Danio rerio: one gene and its partners. The protein of the gene in region 3 interacts with the protein of the main gene of each other region in a biochemical or structural test. Links are inferred from orthologs where the notes say so. Each region holds a gene or a part of one and is shown on either strand. Other genes may lie near its edges. The genes, in order: agxtb, pex7, pex5 and ddo.

What was found.
Region 1: the proteins of pex5 (region 3) and agxtb are reported together in a solved structure, tested with the Homo sapiens proteins (2 studies listed by BioGRID and IntAct, with this or other methods). The link is inferred for Danio rerio from reciprocal best matches to the Homo sapiens genes PEX5 and AGXT.
Region 2: the proteins of pex5 (region 3) and pex7 form a complex in vitro, tested with the Homo sapiens proteins (3 studies listed by BioGRID). The link is inferred for Danio rerio from reciprocal best matches to the Homo sapiens genes PEX5 and PEX7.
Region 4: the proteins of pex5 (region 3) and ddo form a complex in vitro, tested with the Homo sapiens proteins (2 studies listed by BioGRID, with this or other methods). The link is inferred for Danio rerio from reciprocal best matches to the Homo sapiens genes PEX5 and DDO.

The regions. Positions count from the first base shown.
Region 1 is NC_133177.1:26,013,871-26,018,071, reverse strand, and holds the start of agxtb (alanine--glyoxylate and serine--pyruvate aminotransferase b), read left to right. Parts: upstream 1-1,337; 5' UTR 1,338-1,345; coding exon 1,346-1,600; intron 1,601-2,806; coding exon 2,807-2,999; intron 3,000-3,086; coding exon 3,087-3,151; intron 3,152-3,276; coding exon 3,277-3,377; intron 3,378-4,201. UniProt on the Homo sapiens protein: Peroxisomal aminotransferase that catalyzes the transamination of glyoxylate to glycine and contributes to the glyoxylate detoxification.
Region 2 is NC_133195.1:42,858,456-42,862,026, forward strand, and holds part of pex7 (peroxisomal biogenesis factor 7), read right to left. Parts: intron 2,658-3,571; coding exon 2,580-2,657; intron 1,437-2,579; coding exon 1,328-1,436; intron 1-1,327. UniProt on the Homo sapiens protein: Receptor required for the peroxisomal import of proteins containing a C-terminal PTS2-type peroxisomal targeting signal. Specifically binds to cargo proteins containing a PTS2 peroxisomal targeting signal in the cytosol.
Region 3 is NC_133191.1:12,440,870-12,444,440, reverse strand, and holds part of pex5 (peroxisomal biogenesis factor 5), read left to right. Parts: intron 1-1,909; coding exon 1,910-1,948; intron 1,949-2,052; coding exon 2,053-2,170; intron 2,171-2,247; coding exon 2,248-2,391; intron 2,392-3,571.
Region 4 is NC_133192.1:8,094,351-8,098,365, forward strand, and holds the start of ddo (D-aspartate oxidase), read left to right. Parts: upstream 1-1,213; 5' UTR 1,214-1,241; intron 1,242-4,015. UniProt on the Homo sapiens protein: Selectively catalyzes the oxidative deamination of acidic amino acids. Suppresses the level of D-aspartate in the brain, an amino acid that can act as an agonist for glutamate receptors. Protects the organism from the toxicity of D-amino acids.

The DNA of each region.
Region 1 (4,201 bases), on a different chromosome or scaffold from region 3:
TTTTTGGGGGGAAAACCTTCTACATGTAAACTGTGGCTTGGGGAAATTACATGTTACATTTGGAGTGAATTAGATACTATTTGGAAAAATAACTTTAACAGTTTGACAAAATTTGGAATCCTTTTATTCGTTACCTTAAAAAAACCTCTCATAATAATGCATCATTTCTGTAATGTTTTAATTTGCTTTGTCATCATACTCTGTTGTTCACATAGGTCTTTGTAACAAGTTTGCTTGTTATGTGGGTGTTTTTTAATTTATTTTCTTATTTCCTTTTGCTGAAGACAAAATATGTAAACAAAATTCTTTTCTTTCCGAATCTGTGTCTTAAATAAAACTTATTTGACGAAAAAGAAATTTACGTTAACAAGCAGTAACACCTAATAAAGTGGCTGGTGAGTGTAATCCTGCACTGTATGATAAAAAATTTACATTTAAATAATGTGCATTTAGCTACCAGACACACTTGCCTAGAATCTATTAAAATTAATCAACATAAATTATTCATACGTAACCGTGAACAAATGTCTATTTATCGTTTGATAGCTGATCTTAAAAATGACTAAATTGCTAACGGACATAAGAGAATTCAGATGGATATGCACATTAGCCATGTCTACTCCAATAGAGCTACTGCCATGTGCTGCACAGACCAATGAAATGTCAGCTGGATACATTACCGTGTGCATGTCAGTTTGTTCACGTCAACCAATCAACTGTGTTGAGAAGTGCACACTCCTCCACTGAGCTCGTAATCAAGTGAAGAATAAATCGATCAATACAGCACCTGCCTGTACACAAGGATGTAAACAAAATCACACTTTTTGTCTATTTGACATGTTTAGGGCTAAAAGGAAAAGATATGAGCGATTAAGCACGTATGTCCTTTCAAAAATATTATTAAATATGAATACACAATTTCCTTTCACGATAGCATTTTCTAGTGGAGTGCAACGCATTTTCTTCTTCCAGCACTGAGATGTTGAGCTCTGTGAAAAAGCTCAGATAAACACGTGTGCTCTGTTTGTTTTTGTCAGGAGGGCATGAGTTATAAGATTGACTTCTAGACTAGAGGACGAAAATAGGAAAACGTATAGCTGACATAAAACATGATGTACAGGAACTTAGATAGCACACAGTTGCTGTAGCTGTTGTTATGCTGTTAATAACATGTATGCACTTCTGGACCGCTATACCTAGTTTGGAAGATGAAGGGAGGAGAAGTTTTGCGCCAAAAGCGTGACGCATGTCGGTGTGTGAACCGGGGGTCAAAGACCTGTTTATTTAAAATGTTGGAGAAACGCAGAGTTTTATCCTTCAGTCGAACAGCAGAGCGAGAGGAATCATGATGCCGAGGACTGTCCTGTCCAGGTGCGCGCGCCTGACGCAGCAGGTGCCGCTGGAAAGCGCGCTCTCCGGCAAACAAAGTGTTCAGCGTGGGATGTCGTCTCTCAGCGTCCCTCCACCGGCCTGCATGCTCCGGCCGCTCGAGGCTCCGTTGCGGTACTTGTTTGGACCAGGACCATCCAATGTGCCGCCTCGTGTTTTGGCGGCAGGAGGGAGACCTATAATAGGTCACATGCACTCGGAAATGTTCGGGGTAAATCTCACACTTTAGTTTGACGCAACGACGCCTTTAATTGTTTTAGATGGACTGATGGAAAGGAAAATTAGTTAAACACAAAAGGCTTCAAAGTCAGCAGAAATGTAGCCTTATACACGTAACTGAAAAAAATCGTTTACTTGGTTTATTTTTAATAAATGTTATTAATAACAAAAAAAATGCAAGGTTGTTTTTTAAATAGGCCTTTTAAATAGGCTACTCTAAATACCAATAGATATGTAGATATAAATATCTCTGAATACGATACTCTTATACATTATACTTGTTATAAAACAACAACAAATAATGTTCAAAATTCATATTCAAATATGCACATTCATATTGAGTCTTTTTAATTTAATACTTTTTGTTTAATTTTTCAAGAAATATATTTTAGGCTGAAAATATAGTTAAATACATATGTTTTTGATTAAAACCTCAAATAAGAAATATTTGTTGACCATTGTAAAATGTTAAGGTTACTCACAAAGGCCAGTGCATGTGTATTAAACAGAAACTCAATATGCTTTGTGCTTTCATGGACTTAAAAACATATCAAGGCAAATTATTTATATTTTAGAGTTGAAACCATTAACCTACATGAAAAAAAATGGATAAATGAAAATGTTATGGGAACTGAAGTTTTGAACAAAGCTTTATCTTTTTGTTTTTAAACACAAAGAGAATTTTAATTAATTGACTTTCTACAACAAGACAAATATGCTTTGTGCCAGGATATATAAAATTGTTCTCATGGAAATTGAACATGTTGTTTGAAGCAATTTATTTATTTTTCATTGGGTCAAGTGATACAATTGAGATGTGAACCATTACTCTATTTAAAAAAAAAAAAAAAAAAAAAAACAGTATATTTAGAAATAGTTTCAATATTTACTAAAAAAAATCTAAAGGTGTATTTGCTAACTTTAATGCACTGTGAATTAATAATTTTATTTAAAGTTCATGTTAATTCATGCATTTTCTATTGTTAATAAATTAGCAATATTGTAAAAATTATCAAATAAAAATGTTTTTGAGATATTTTCAAATTTAAGAATGTAAGTCTGTAAAAGAGATCCACTCTTTCAGCTTCACAACCTTAAAATGTTTTACTTTTGATTGAATCAGTAAAGATCAAAATCAAGTGATTAAAATGTATTGTGGACATTATGTTTGAAAGCCAATGCTGAAATTTTGTTGCAGATTATGAATGAGATCAAGCAGGGAATTCAGTATGCTTTTCAGACCAATAACAGCATGACTCTGGCCATGAGTGGCTCTGGCCACACAGCAATGGAGTGTGCAGTGTTCAACATCGTGGAGCCCGGAGAAAGCGTTTTGGTTGCAGTTAATGGAATCTGGGGGGAACGAGTCGCAGAAATTGCAGAGCGCATGGGTATGAACAATAATAACTTCAGTCCACTGTTCTGTAAAAATTCATCATAATCTGTTGATAAGACCACACTTGCCTTTCTTACAACAGGTGCAAAGGTTCACACATTGGCAAAAGCACCAGGAGGACATTTCACAAATGCAGAAATTGAACAGGTAAAACTGTGCTTCATTTAAATGTGATGTTAAGACAAATTTCCTTTGCATATTTTGTCTTTTACAAACCCTAAAAGTTACTGTATATGACTGGATCAACAAACCTAACATTCATCTTTCTACAGGCTCTGGCCAAACATAAGCCAGTTCTCTTCTTTCTCACACATGGAGAGTCATCAGCTGGTTTGGTGCACCCAATGGACGGAATTGGAGATGTGTGTCGCAAGTAAGAATATCATACAATCATTTAGCTTACTGGGTGACTTCTAATGGAAAATCAATTAAATGCTTCCCTTTTGGGGTCTTGTATGAAAAAATCATGAATAAGTGTTTTTTTGCATGCGCAAATCTCAGATTGATGTACAGAATTAAATCAATATTTGAAGTTGAGTTGCTATACGTATTAACCCCGTTATTAGCAACACCGGTTGCCATTTGGTAAACTGCACCAAGGAACTTATGGCCCAATTCCACTGAGTGGTTCGATACGCTTTTACAGTATGGCCGTTTCCATGGTCAAAAGGTACCCAAAAGTGAACCGTACCGTACCACTTTTTGGGTACCATTTGCAAAGGGTATCTAGCACGGCAAAAGGGTACCAAAAGGCAGAGCTAGCCGCGCAGCTGAACACTATTGATTTACAGAGAAACGTCACTAGCAGTAAAATGAAAACAAAAAGAAAAAAAATTGCCATTTTTAAATATACAGCCGAGACATTACACTGTAATACTATACATGTATAATAACGAGCCATGGTCGACCCAAGCTCAAACAAACCTTGTAGTCGTCTTGATGGACAGCCACAAAGCCAAGAAGAACAAAATCTTCCCTGTCCTGTTTTTGTTTTTAAAAGTGCGTCTAAAAGTGCGAGCGGTTTTACTTTCTTCAGAGAGCTCGTATGCGTGTCTATATTTGAAATAAACTTTGAGCTGATGATAGTAACGTGTGCATGATTATTGAAGTGCTTTTGACATCCCATCCTTTCATAAACCGACAACGTGAAAGTTAAGGACGAAAAAAACAAAGAAGCTTGAAAAAAAAACAGAACAA
Region 2 (3,571 bases), on a different chromosome or scaffold from region 3:
GATGTACAAAAGCATTTGCAACTTGTTCAAAAGAATGATAAACTGCTATTCTGATGTGCACAACTAACACCATAATGTGAAGATTGAACAGGTAGTTTTGAGAATTTTAATTCTGATCTGAGAAATGTACCAAAGCGACTAAGAAAAACTGTAACTGACTGATACAATAAGATTTACTAGTGTCAAGGATTTCAATGTTGCCAAGGACTTCACCCATATTGCACCAGCTATCAACAAAATTAGGGCTGTTGTTATTAATTATTTGAGTATTTGAGTTTTCTATTAATTCAATCAAGTAATCAGATTAACGGTATCTTTATTAAAGAGCAATACTAGACACACAAGAGAAAAAAAGACAGGCAGATTTGGTTCCTTTTTTCAATTTTGCTTTCTATTCTTATGTTGCACAGGTATATACTTTTATACATTTACATATTTTTGGCTATAATATATTTTTGTCCTGGTGCTGAGGAGCCTATAGTAATAGTAACATGTTAATATAAGCACAGGGGGGAAATGTGGAGTATGTGGCTGTATCTAAAATCAAACACTATACCCTTAAATAATGGGAAATGTGGGAAGTTTTCTTGACTGTGAATTTTCTTCTTTAACTCTGTTAATTGAGCGGTGCGGTAGCGCAGTGGGTGGCACGTTCGCCTCAAAGCAAGAAGGTCACTGGTTCGAGCCTTGGCTGGGTCAGTTCGCATTTCTGTGTAGAGTTTGCATGTTCTCCGCGTGTTCACGTGGGTTACCTCCGGGTGCTCCAGTTTCCCCCACAGTCCAAAGACGTGGTATAGATAAATTGGGTAGGCTAAATTTTCCGTAGTGTATGTGTGTGAATGAGTGCATGGGTGTGTGTCAGTGTTGGGTTGCAGCTGGAAGGGCATCCGCTGTGTAAAACATATGCTGGATAAGTTGGTGGTTCATTCCGCTGTGGTGACCCCTGATTAATAAATGGACTAAGCCGAAAAGAAAATGAATGAATGAACTCTGTTAATTGTATAATTGTTTTGTCTTCTGTTACCTTTGCTGTTTGTTTGCTTGTTTGTGTGTTTTTATTAATTTATTGGGCCTTGAGTCTAAATAATAAAGTTGATTTACTGATAATTACTCAACGAATCATTTTAGCCCTCGACAAAATGAAAATTATCTGTTTTTGCATATTTGAGTTATTTTTTATTTATGTATTTTAAGTACATACTAAGCAAAACTATCCACTGTCATTGGCACTTTTTTGACATTGCCATCTCAATCTATCAGACTACATAATATATGTGGTCTGCACCACAAAATTTCCAGAAAAAATAAATAAAAGCCATTCTCCTACCTGAGGCCGAAGCAAAGCATGCTGGGATATGAGGAGACCAGATGGTGCTGTAGATGACACCCTCATGACCCTGAAGGGAGTTCACTAACTGACACTGCACTGGATCCCACTTTGTAGAAAAACAGCACAGATATAAAATACATTCCAGTACAGTAATACATTTCTTAGATGTTCATTTCAGTCTTCTAGTTTAAAGGATATCTATAGAGTATATTGGTGTGCTCCGAAACAGTGACAAAATTTGCGCTTAGGAGATATAAGACCGAGTTAAATGTAAAGCTTGTAGTTTGTCACTTCTGTCTAAATGGATCAACGTTTTTTTCCACGTCACCTCATACTTCAGTTTCTCATCTATCTTGACCAATCAAATGCTCTATATTGTTTGACACAACTAGTCCCCTTTAAGATGCTTCTCATTTGCTTTTCATTCGATGCGCTTGAACTCAATCACCACTGGCAGAGCTGTGATAAAAACAACACACTATTGGATACTTTTTAATAAGAGGAGGGGCTACTCTATGTCCCACCCTCTCTTCATTTTTCAGTTAGGATTAGGTCAATTATCAAATAAAAGTGCACATTTGAATATACATATCTCATATCAATAGAATATACATATCGCAGCTGGTGACGGATTACATTTAATTTATGCATTGGTTGTTTATTAAAGTTTGACCAATTAGATGGGAGCCTAACTATCTTTATCTCCATCTCCACATTAGTTGCTGTTCTGCTATTGGCTGGAGCAGACTAAAAGTAAAACCAGAGCTGAAAATAAATTCTTATTGTGAGAGTTAAGACAAGAGAGAAATGACAACAGCCAATCAGAGTCAACAGACCAGCTGATTTTTTTACTCATTCATATTGTTTAAAAGACTAAATGTTTGCACCTTTCTACAGTTTTTTTATTAGCAATTTAGAATTAATTATATGTAAAAATATGTTTTACCTATTTATTTTAATATCATTAAATAAATAAAGCATTTAAAAACATTGGCAACAAAAACAGTACTTTTTTAGGGGAAATATTATATCATAAGAAACATTATTATGGGAATATTCAACAACAATATTGCATATTTTTCTAGTATATAAAGACTGTTTTCCTTTTAAATCTTCACAATTACATTTAATTTAGCATTTAAACAATGCATGATTATATGGTTAGTTAAATGCAATTATTCGCAATTAACATTTATAATATGGCAAAATTGTCTGCGTATATTCATCCTCTAAACTAAAGTCTGCTTACCACTTTGGCTGTGTGGTCCCAAGATCCTGATACTAGCAGGTTTTCAGCACGTGTTTGACTCCAGTCTACTGAATACACCTATAAAAAGAGGGGATTTGCATCAGTCCAGAGGTTCTAAAGTGCTAAAACTTTACCTTTTCACTAATATATTTCCATTTAAATATTTATTATTATTAACTCTATACTACATGTCCATACTGCTGTTTCCAGAAAAGTTCTCCCTCCACACTACACAGCTGAAAATGCAGTTCAGAAGCTAAAAGTAGCTATAGAATTAAAGCACAAAATTTTAGCCATAATTCAATTATTTAAATAACACTACAATCACATTTGCTATAAGAAAAAATATATTAAACTGTGTTATAAAATACAAAAATTTCAATACCAGATACAATATTAAAAATAAGGACAGATTCAATAAGTGATTTATATATGACAATCAAAATGTCCTTCTCAATATAAAAACTTCTCAGTTTTCTTAACAGACTCAACAATTGCTGAGCCTTTTCAAAAACATTCTCGGCGAGTTTATCAAAAGAGAATTGAAAGTCAATCCCCACACCTAAATATTTAAAAGAACTCACCTGTTTAGCTTCCTCCCCGTTAATTTTGTTTGTAACACATTTCTTTCATCTTACTAATATTAAGCTGCAAGGAACTCTCTGTTGTCCAACTTGTTACATAATTGACAAAATGTAAATAATCATCCAATAACTGAGTATACTTTACACATCCCACCAAAGCCATATCATCAGCAAACTTGCTAAGTGTCAGTTTTTCATTGTCACAAGATATATCGTTTATATAAATAAAAAACTAAATTGGTGATAAAACACATGCTTGAGAAAGGCCAGTATTTAACACCATTCTCTGACTTTATACTCTTAGCCAATACATGCTGTGGTCTGGATAGTTCCTGATCCTTTAAAGTCTTTCCAAACATGTCTGAATTTTTTCTGTTGAACACAAAGGAAGATATACTGAAGAATGAA
Region 3 (3,571 bases):
TATGAAATTCTGAAGTAAACACTTAGGGAAAATAGAATCACCAACATATCTTTAACACAAAATATTGTATGAAGTGAATCCATTTGTAAATTAAGGAAATGATTACCATTTTGAAAACAGACATAATCAGGGTGTACATCTGAGATGTAGAATCAGCTACTCAAGGCGTACACACTCATATTTATTGAAAGGGGAACACCTGTGACTTGTGTAAGGATATATGGTAACACTTTATAATAACTACACACTATGAATCATCTATTAAGCATTAGCAAATAGTTAATTCTTTATATGTTAAGTATTAACTCTAAATAGACGTTAGTAAGCAGTTTATAAATTCAACTACAAATGCTGTATTCTTGACTTATAAGCGCATTTAAAATGTGCTCAATGATTGTGTTTTCATACTTAATTACATTTTAATTGTTCATTCATTCATTCATTCATTTATTCATTTTCTCTTCGGCTTAGTCCCTTTATTAATCCGGGGTCGCCACAGCGGAATGAACCGCCAACTTATCCAGCAGGTTTTTACGCAGCGGATACCCTTTCAGGGAAACATCCACACACAATCATTAACACACACTAATACACTATGGACAAATTAGCCTACCCAATTCACCTGTACCGCATGTCTTTGGACTGTGGGGGAAACCGGAGCACCCGGAGGAAACCCATGCGAACGCAGGGAGAACATGCAAACTCCACACAGAAACGCCAACTGACCCGAACCAGCGACCCAGTGACCTTCTTGCTGTGAGACACCAGCACTACATACTGTGCCACTGCGTCGCCCATTTTAATCGTTTATTACTAAATTTAGTATTGCATTATTTACAAATTGTGATGCAATTTGATATATGTATATATATATATATATATATATATATATATATATATATATATATATATATATATATATATATATATATATATATATTTGAAATAAATGCAAAACCGAGAAAACCGCAATTCACAAGCGCGTATTGAACCGTGGAGGTCGTACCGTAAGGTTCAATATTTTATTGAGAACTGTGGCATGCCTAATATATATATATATATATATATATATATATATATATATATATATATATATATATATATATATATATATATATATACAGTTGAAGTGAGAATTATTAGACCCCCTGAATATTTAGACCGCATGTTTATTTTTTTCCCATTTTCTGTTTGACAGAGGGCAGATTTTTGCAACACATTTTTAAGCATAATAGTTTTAATAACTCATCTCTAATAACTGATTTATTTTATCTTTGCCATGATGACAGTAAATAATATTTTACTGGATATTTTTTTGTATTTAAAAAATGATTCATAGTGTGTAGTTATTATAAAGTGTTACTGGAAATATTTTAAGGGCAATGTTTAAAAAGTTATTGTTGTATATTTAGTATAGGTCTTGTCATGAATATAGCCAATGTTGCTGATATGGCAATGAAACATAAATAAAGCATCTTTGACACAAATATATTAAAATGCAGGGAATTCATAAAAAGAGAGACTTAATTTTTGAGAATTTCTCAAAAATCTCAAATCCCATAACCAAAAGTTTGGACTTACATTTGTTTTGTTATTTTTACATATACATTTTATTCACATTCAACAACATTCTCTCAAATGCAAGGTCTGTAGACCTGCTGTTTAAATAAACCTTTATTAATAGTATTGCATTTTTTTGTATTGTTTATTAATAGTAGTAGTTGCGATTATTATTTATTAGAAAGTGAATTAAAGAATTAATCAACCAATGAGAAAATATTCCAAATATGCATTCAAAAATAGCCACTTGATTAATCTAATCCTTTTTCAGTAGATTAATTGTTTAAGTAATTGTTAATTGCAATCTTGAAAATATTATTGATTAGGATTTTTCCCTTTTTCCCCATAGATTCCTCCTACTCCCATTGAAATAGCCACTGAAGAAGAGGTTTGTATAATCTGTTTTAAATGACTTGATCAGCTTGTATAAGCTCATATAGTCTGTGATCATGTTCTTACAACCTGTCCTGTTGTTTTCTTTTTTGAATGCAGCTGGTCAGTGAGTTTCTGCAGGGTCCACAACGGCCTCCTCATAGTTTTGATATGGGTCAACTGCTGGAGGAGATGCAACAGATTGATCAGCAGAACTACAGACAGGCTCCACAGAGAGGTATCAGCACAAACACACATCCACATCAAGTTCAACACTTGTTGATGTCACTATAACTGTATGTTTTCACTTCTCAGCTCCCGATGTGGCAGCTCTGGCTCTGTCTGGCGACTGGGCATCAGAGTTTCTGTCTACTGCTGATGCCGCCTCTTCTTCTGGACAGGCAGCTCTTGATCCAGCCGATGCCGACTGGACCAGAGAATTTATCAATGAAGTGGCAGGTCAATATGAATTTAAAATGTCTTAAAATGTTCATAACACCTCTGATTTGAAAATCAGAAACGCAGTATGTTACTGTTCAATTTGTGGGAGCTTGGCTCGCTTTGGCTTGAAAATATTGAGGAGTTGAGGTCAGAATTATTAGGTCTCCTGTTAAATTTAAATTATTTTATGTTTTTGTTTTACAAATTTCTGTTAAACAGAGAGAAGATTTTTTTTTAATACATTTCTTAACATAATAGTTTTAATAGCTAATGTCTACTAACTGATTTACTTTGTCTTTGCCATGATGACAGTAAATAATATTTTCCTAGATATTTTTCAAGATCATAGTATTCAGATTAAAGTACTATTTAAAGGCTTAACTAGGTAATTAGGTTGGGCAAGTCATTGTAATTTGATGGTTTGCTCTTTAGACAATTTAAAAAATATTGCCTAAGTGGGTTAATAATATTGTAACGTAATAAATTATAACATAACTTAAAATTAAAACTGCTTTTATTTTAGCCGAAATAAAACAAATAAGTATAAATATTTTAGCAAATACTGTGAAAAATGCTTTGCTCTCACATAATTTGGGAAATATTTAAAAACAAAGACAAATTCACAGGTGGGCGAATAAAATTGACATCAACCTTATATAGTTATTGTTGAATAAACTGTCAATTCTAATAGATTTGATTTAGTCCATTTACACCACTACATATAAAGAAGTGGGTGTGGCTAACTCAAGTGCAGGATATGTGAACAAGATGCTGCTTTTGAAAACTGACCGGAGCGCTTGTAGTAAGATCAGGTCAACAATCTGAGGTGAACTTTTATCTGTGCTTTAGATGAACTGTTTTGCATTACTGACTTGAAACTGAGAGTGTGAGTACTGAATAACTGTACTTAATGCAACTGAACTGTGTGGTCAATATCCCTCAGTAAGATCACTGTAACTTGTGTTGTGCTACTGCCTCTGCCAACTAACATTCTCCCCTAGGTCGTAATGCCCACACGGATACTGATTCACCTGATTATCTAAGAAAATGAAAGCAAAATACTGAGTAGCTAGTTATGTCATAAAATGCTTGGTTTTCTTTGATATATCGGTCAGAAAATGTGAAGAAAAATTGATTTATTGACTGACACCAACCATACAGAGCGTAATTCAATATCTGCTTTGTTAATTATTTTGTT
Region 4 (4,015 bases), on a different chromosome or scaffold from region 3:
AGTGCTAACCACTGAGCCACCGTGTCGCCAGATGGTGTTATATTTTTGTTAAAAAAAAAAATAAAAAAAAAAAATATATATATATATATATATATATATATATATATATATATATATATATAGGGTGGCACAGTGGGTAGCGCCACAATCGGTAGTTGTCGCCTCGGCTGGGTCAGTTGGCATTTTTGTGTGGAGTTTGCATGTTCTTCCCATATTGGTGTGGGTTTCTTCTGGGTGCTCCGGTTTCCCCCACAGTCCAAAAACATGCACAAGGGGTGAATTGGGTAAGCTAAATTGTCGGTAGTGCATGTGTGTGAATGAGAGTTTATGGGTGTTTCCCACTGATGGGTTGCAGCTGGAAGGGCATCCGTTACATAAAACATATGCTGGATAAGTTGGCAGTTCATTCCACCGTGGTGACCCCTGATGAATAAAGGGACTCTATATATAGAAATTACTGCATTTTTATATTAAGTAACTTAGAGTTGTAAACACAGAACAGATAAAATATTCATTATAAAAATAACATATTTTTATTCAATAAAAAAAGAATAAAAAATTCTGGCAATTATTTGAAATCAAACATTGAAAACTATTAACTACCTCTTAACAATTTGTATTATTCCCATCAAAGACAAACAGTTGTGGGAAAAGTAAATAAGAATTATACTTAGGTAAAAGTATCATTACTTGTCTAAAAATGTAGTGCAAGTAGAGCAAAAGCACTTGTTGTAAATATTACTCAAAATTTGAGTAAAAATTAGAAATTTTTAAAAGTATTATTATTACGTATGTGATTTGTATATTTCTAATAACAAAATTAAAGCGTTTATATAATAAAATACACATTTTTTGATCCTCCAAGCGCCCCCTGTAGGAGCAGCTCAAACAGCGCCATAATCGTGCTGGCTAAGTACAGCAATGCACCACAATAGAGCGCTCATTTAAATGACACAGAATTGAATAACTATAAATAGACAATGTTGTCCTGGTAGCAGTATGTTTGATGTCCGCTAAATTAACAATTATTTAAAATACGTCCATACGTGGTGTAATAGATTGTAAAATGCTGTAACCCTTCAAAATAACAGAAAACCCCTGCGAAAACTCCATTTCCCATGATGCCTTTTAAACAGGACAGACATAACAGTCCTCGCGCTGCAGTGTGACTGATAATATTTCACCCACAGAGAGAAGAGCTTTGTGTTTGATCCTGCAGGTCTCGACTCGACAGACTCAAGGTAAGAGTGTGACATATACTTTGCACCTGCTTTTACATTCTCATTCAAAGTATTTGAAATAGGCTGCAATAATATATCCCCAAGTTAATAAGTTACTGTATTTGTGTTGTATCTTGTTATTGCGACAAGTACTTTTACTACAGTAACACGAAATACACTAAATATTTGTACAACGTTTTAAATATGGATATGAATTAATATGTATTGAAGGAATACATTTTATTTTTGATTATTTATAGGTTTATTCACTTCGTTCTTCGCACTTTATTAGATTCAGGCAAACTTTCCAATTGTTTTATTATTATAAATGTTAATAAATTTATTATTACTATTATTACTTTTTAAGAAATTATGATTTTTTTTTATTATTGTGATAACCCAGAAACACATAATAAGTAACCCATAATTAACGGTCAGATAAGGACACTTCAGTCTGTTGTTTATTGACTTTATTGGCACATTTTTATGGTCTGCTTGTGAATGTCTGTATTGTGTGAAAGGGAAATTATTTTGTTTGTCATCTAATTTTTGTAGGTCAGTTTTTTTAAATACTTTTATTCTATGACAAAGATACATTTGATACACACCATTTACAAAAATAATTATTAGATTATTTACAAGGGCATCATGGTGGCACAGTGGGTGGCATGATTGCCTCACAGCAAGAAGGTCACTGATTCGAGCCTCGTCCGGGTCAGTTGGCATTTCTGTGTGGAGTTTGCATGTTCTCCCCGTGTTGGCGTGGGTTTCCTCCGGGTGCTCCGTTTTTCCCCACAGCCCAAACGAATGCACTATAGGTGAATTGGGTGAGCTAAAATGTCCGTAGTGTATGTGTATGAACGGGTAAGTATGGATGTTTCCCAGTGATGGGTTGTGGCATAAAAGGGCATCCGCTGTGTAAAACATATTCTTGATAAGTTGGCGGTTCATTCTGCTGTGGCGACGCAATTCGGTGGATGGGGATGATTGAGAGGCCATGATCAATAAGGGCCAATGAAGGGAATTTGGCCAGGACACCTGGGTTACACCCCTATTCTTACGAGAAGTGCCATGGGATTTTTAATGACCGCAGAGAAAGACGGCGCTTACTGACAGTGTAGTGTCCCCTTCACTTTACTGGGGTTGTTGCTAGAGCGGATACGTTTGCGGCCGGAAGTTAACGTGAATTATTTCTATTATTTATTACATTTTTCATTTGTTGTATTTTATTAACGTCTACCCCCACCCCAACCCTAAACCCAACCGTCACAGTATTGTAAAAACTTTAGTTTACCGAGTATTAGTTGTGTTATCTATTAAATTACCCAATAAAATGTATTTTTTAACGCCTACCCCAACCCCAACCCTAAACCCCACCCTCACAGTACTGTAAAAATATTAATTATTGTTATACAGTGTCATAAAAAAATGCTGCTTTATTAATGTGCATATCGCACTTCCGGCCGGCCGCATATTCGATCTAGACTTTACCCTTTACTGGGGCATTAGGACTCACACAGACGGGAGGTTGAGCGCCCCCTGCTGACCTCACTAACAGCAATTCCAGCAGTAACCTAGCTTTCCCATGTGGTCTCCCATCCAGGCACTGACCAGGCTCAGCCCTGCTTAGCTTCAGCGAGCAACCGTTCCGAAATTGAACCTATAGTATTGCAAATGCTCGATTCATATTTTGTTAATATTTTATGAATATTCGATCAGCCTACTTTCAAAATACTTCTACAATTATAGTTTATAAATAACATTCAAACGTTTTCAATGTTTATCGAATGAGTTTTGATTAAATTAAACATTAGCATATTGACTCATTGGTAAAGCCTGTTTAAAAAAAAAAAAAAAAAAACTACTTGAAGTGTGTACGCTTACACTATTTCCAACTAAAAACTAAAAGCCTTTTGTGTGTTTTGGTCTTTCATTTTTTACATAGTGGGAAAAATGGATTGCGCAACATGCTAAAGGCATTATACAACTGGAGAGGAAACGTTTACACAACGTTTTTAGAATTCAACCTTTTTTTTTTCAAGCACCCAAAACAAAATGTTGAATAATAACAGAACGTTGTGTAAATGTTCTCTTAGTTGTATAATGCCTTTTGCACGTTGCATAATCCATTTTTCCTCTAGGTAAAACGGGCTGATTAAATGCTTACCAATACACAATGAAATCTTTACAGTAATGCTGGGCTGCAGAATGTAAAATGGATGTCTGGATTTTAACCCACGCTGCATTAACTAATGTTAGCAAGCATGAATTTGGATGTTAAAAATGCATTAGTATTTAATGGAATATGACTAATAAATGCTGTGAGTATTATTCATAATTAGTTCATGTTAGTAACACAGAAGATATATCGCATTATAATGAACTACCTCAAGACATGCAATTTAAAATTGCAGCAAACTGTTTGGAAGCATTAAAAATGTCCAAGAAGATGTCCAAAATATTTACACGCATTGACCCAGAGACTGTTTAAATGCATGACACTGATGAGAGTGTTCTAACAAATCACTTTCTAACAACCTAAAATCAACCAAATATCAGCGTCATTTGACGTCATTATTGGCCATCAAAATATTGTTCTTAGACGCTGGCTAGACATTGAATTTTGGTCACCTGACATCACAACCTAAATCTAACCTAATATTAACGTCTTATGACATTGTGTGCCTGCTGGGCAATGACTAAATGCACTACAGAATGCTGTAGAATACAGCTGCTTTATTTCACTCTATGATAACTTCTTTTATGTTTAATCCACTTAAATTTGCAAAAACACT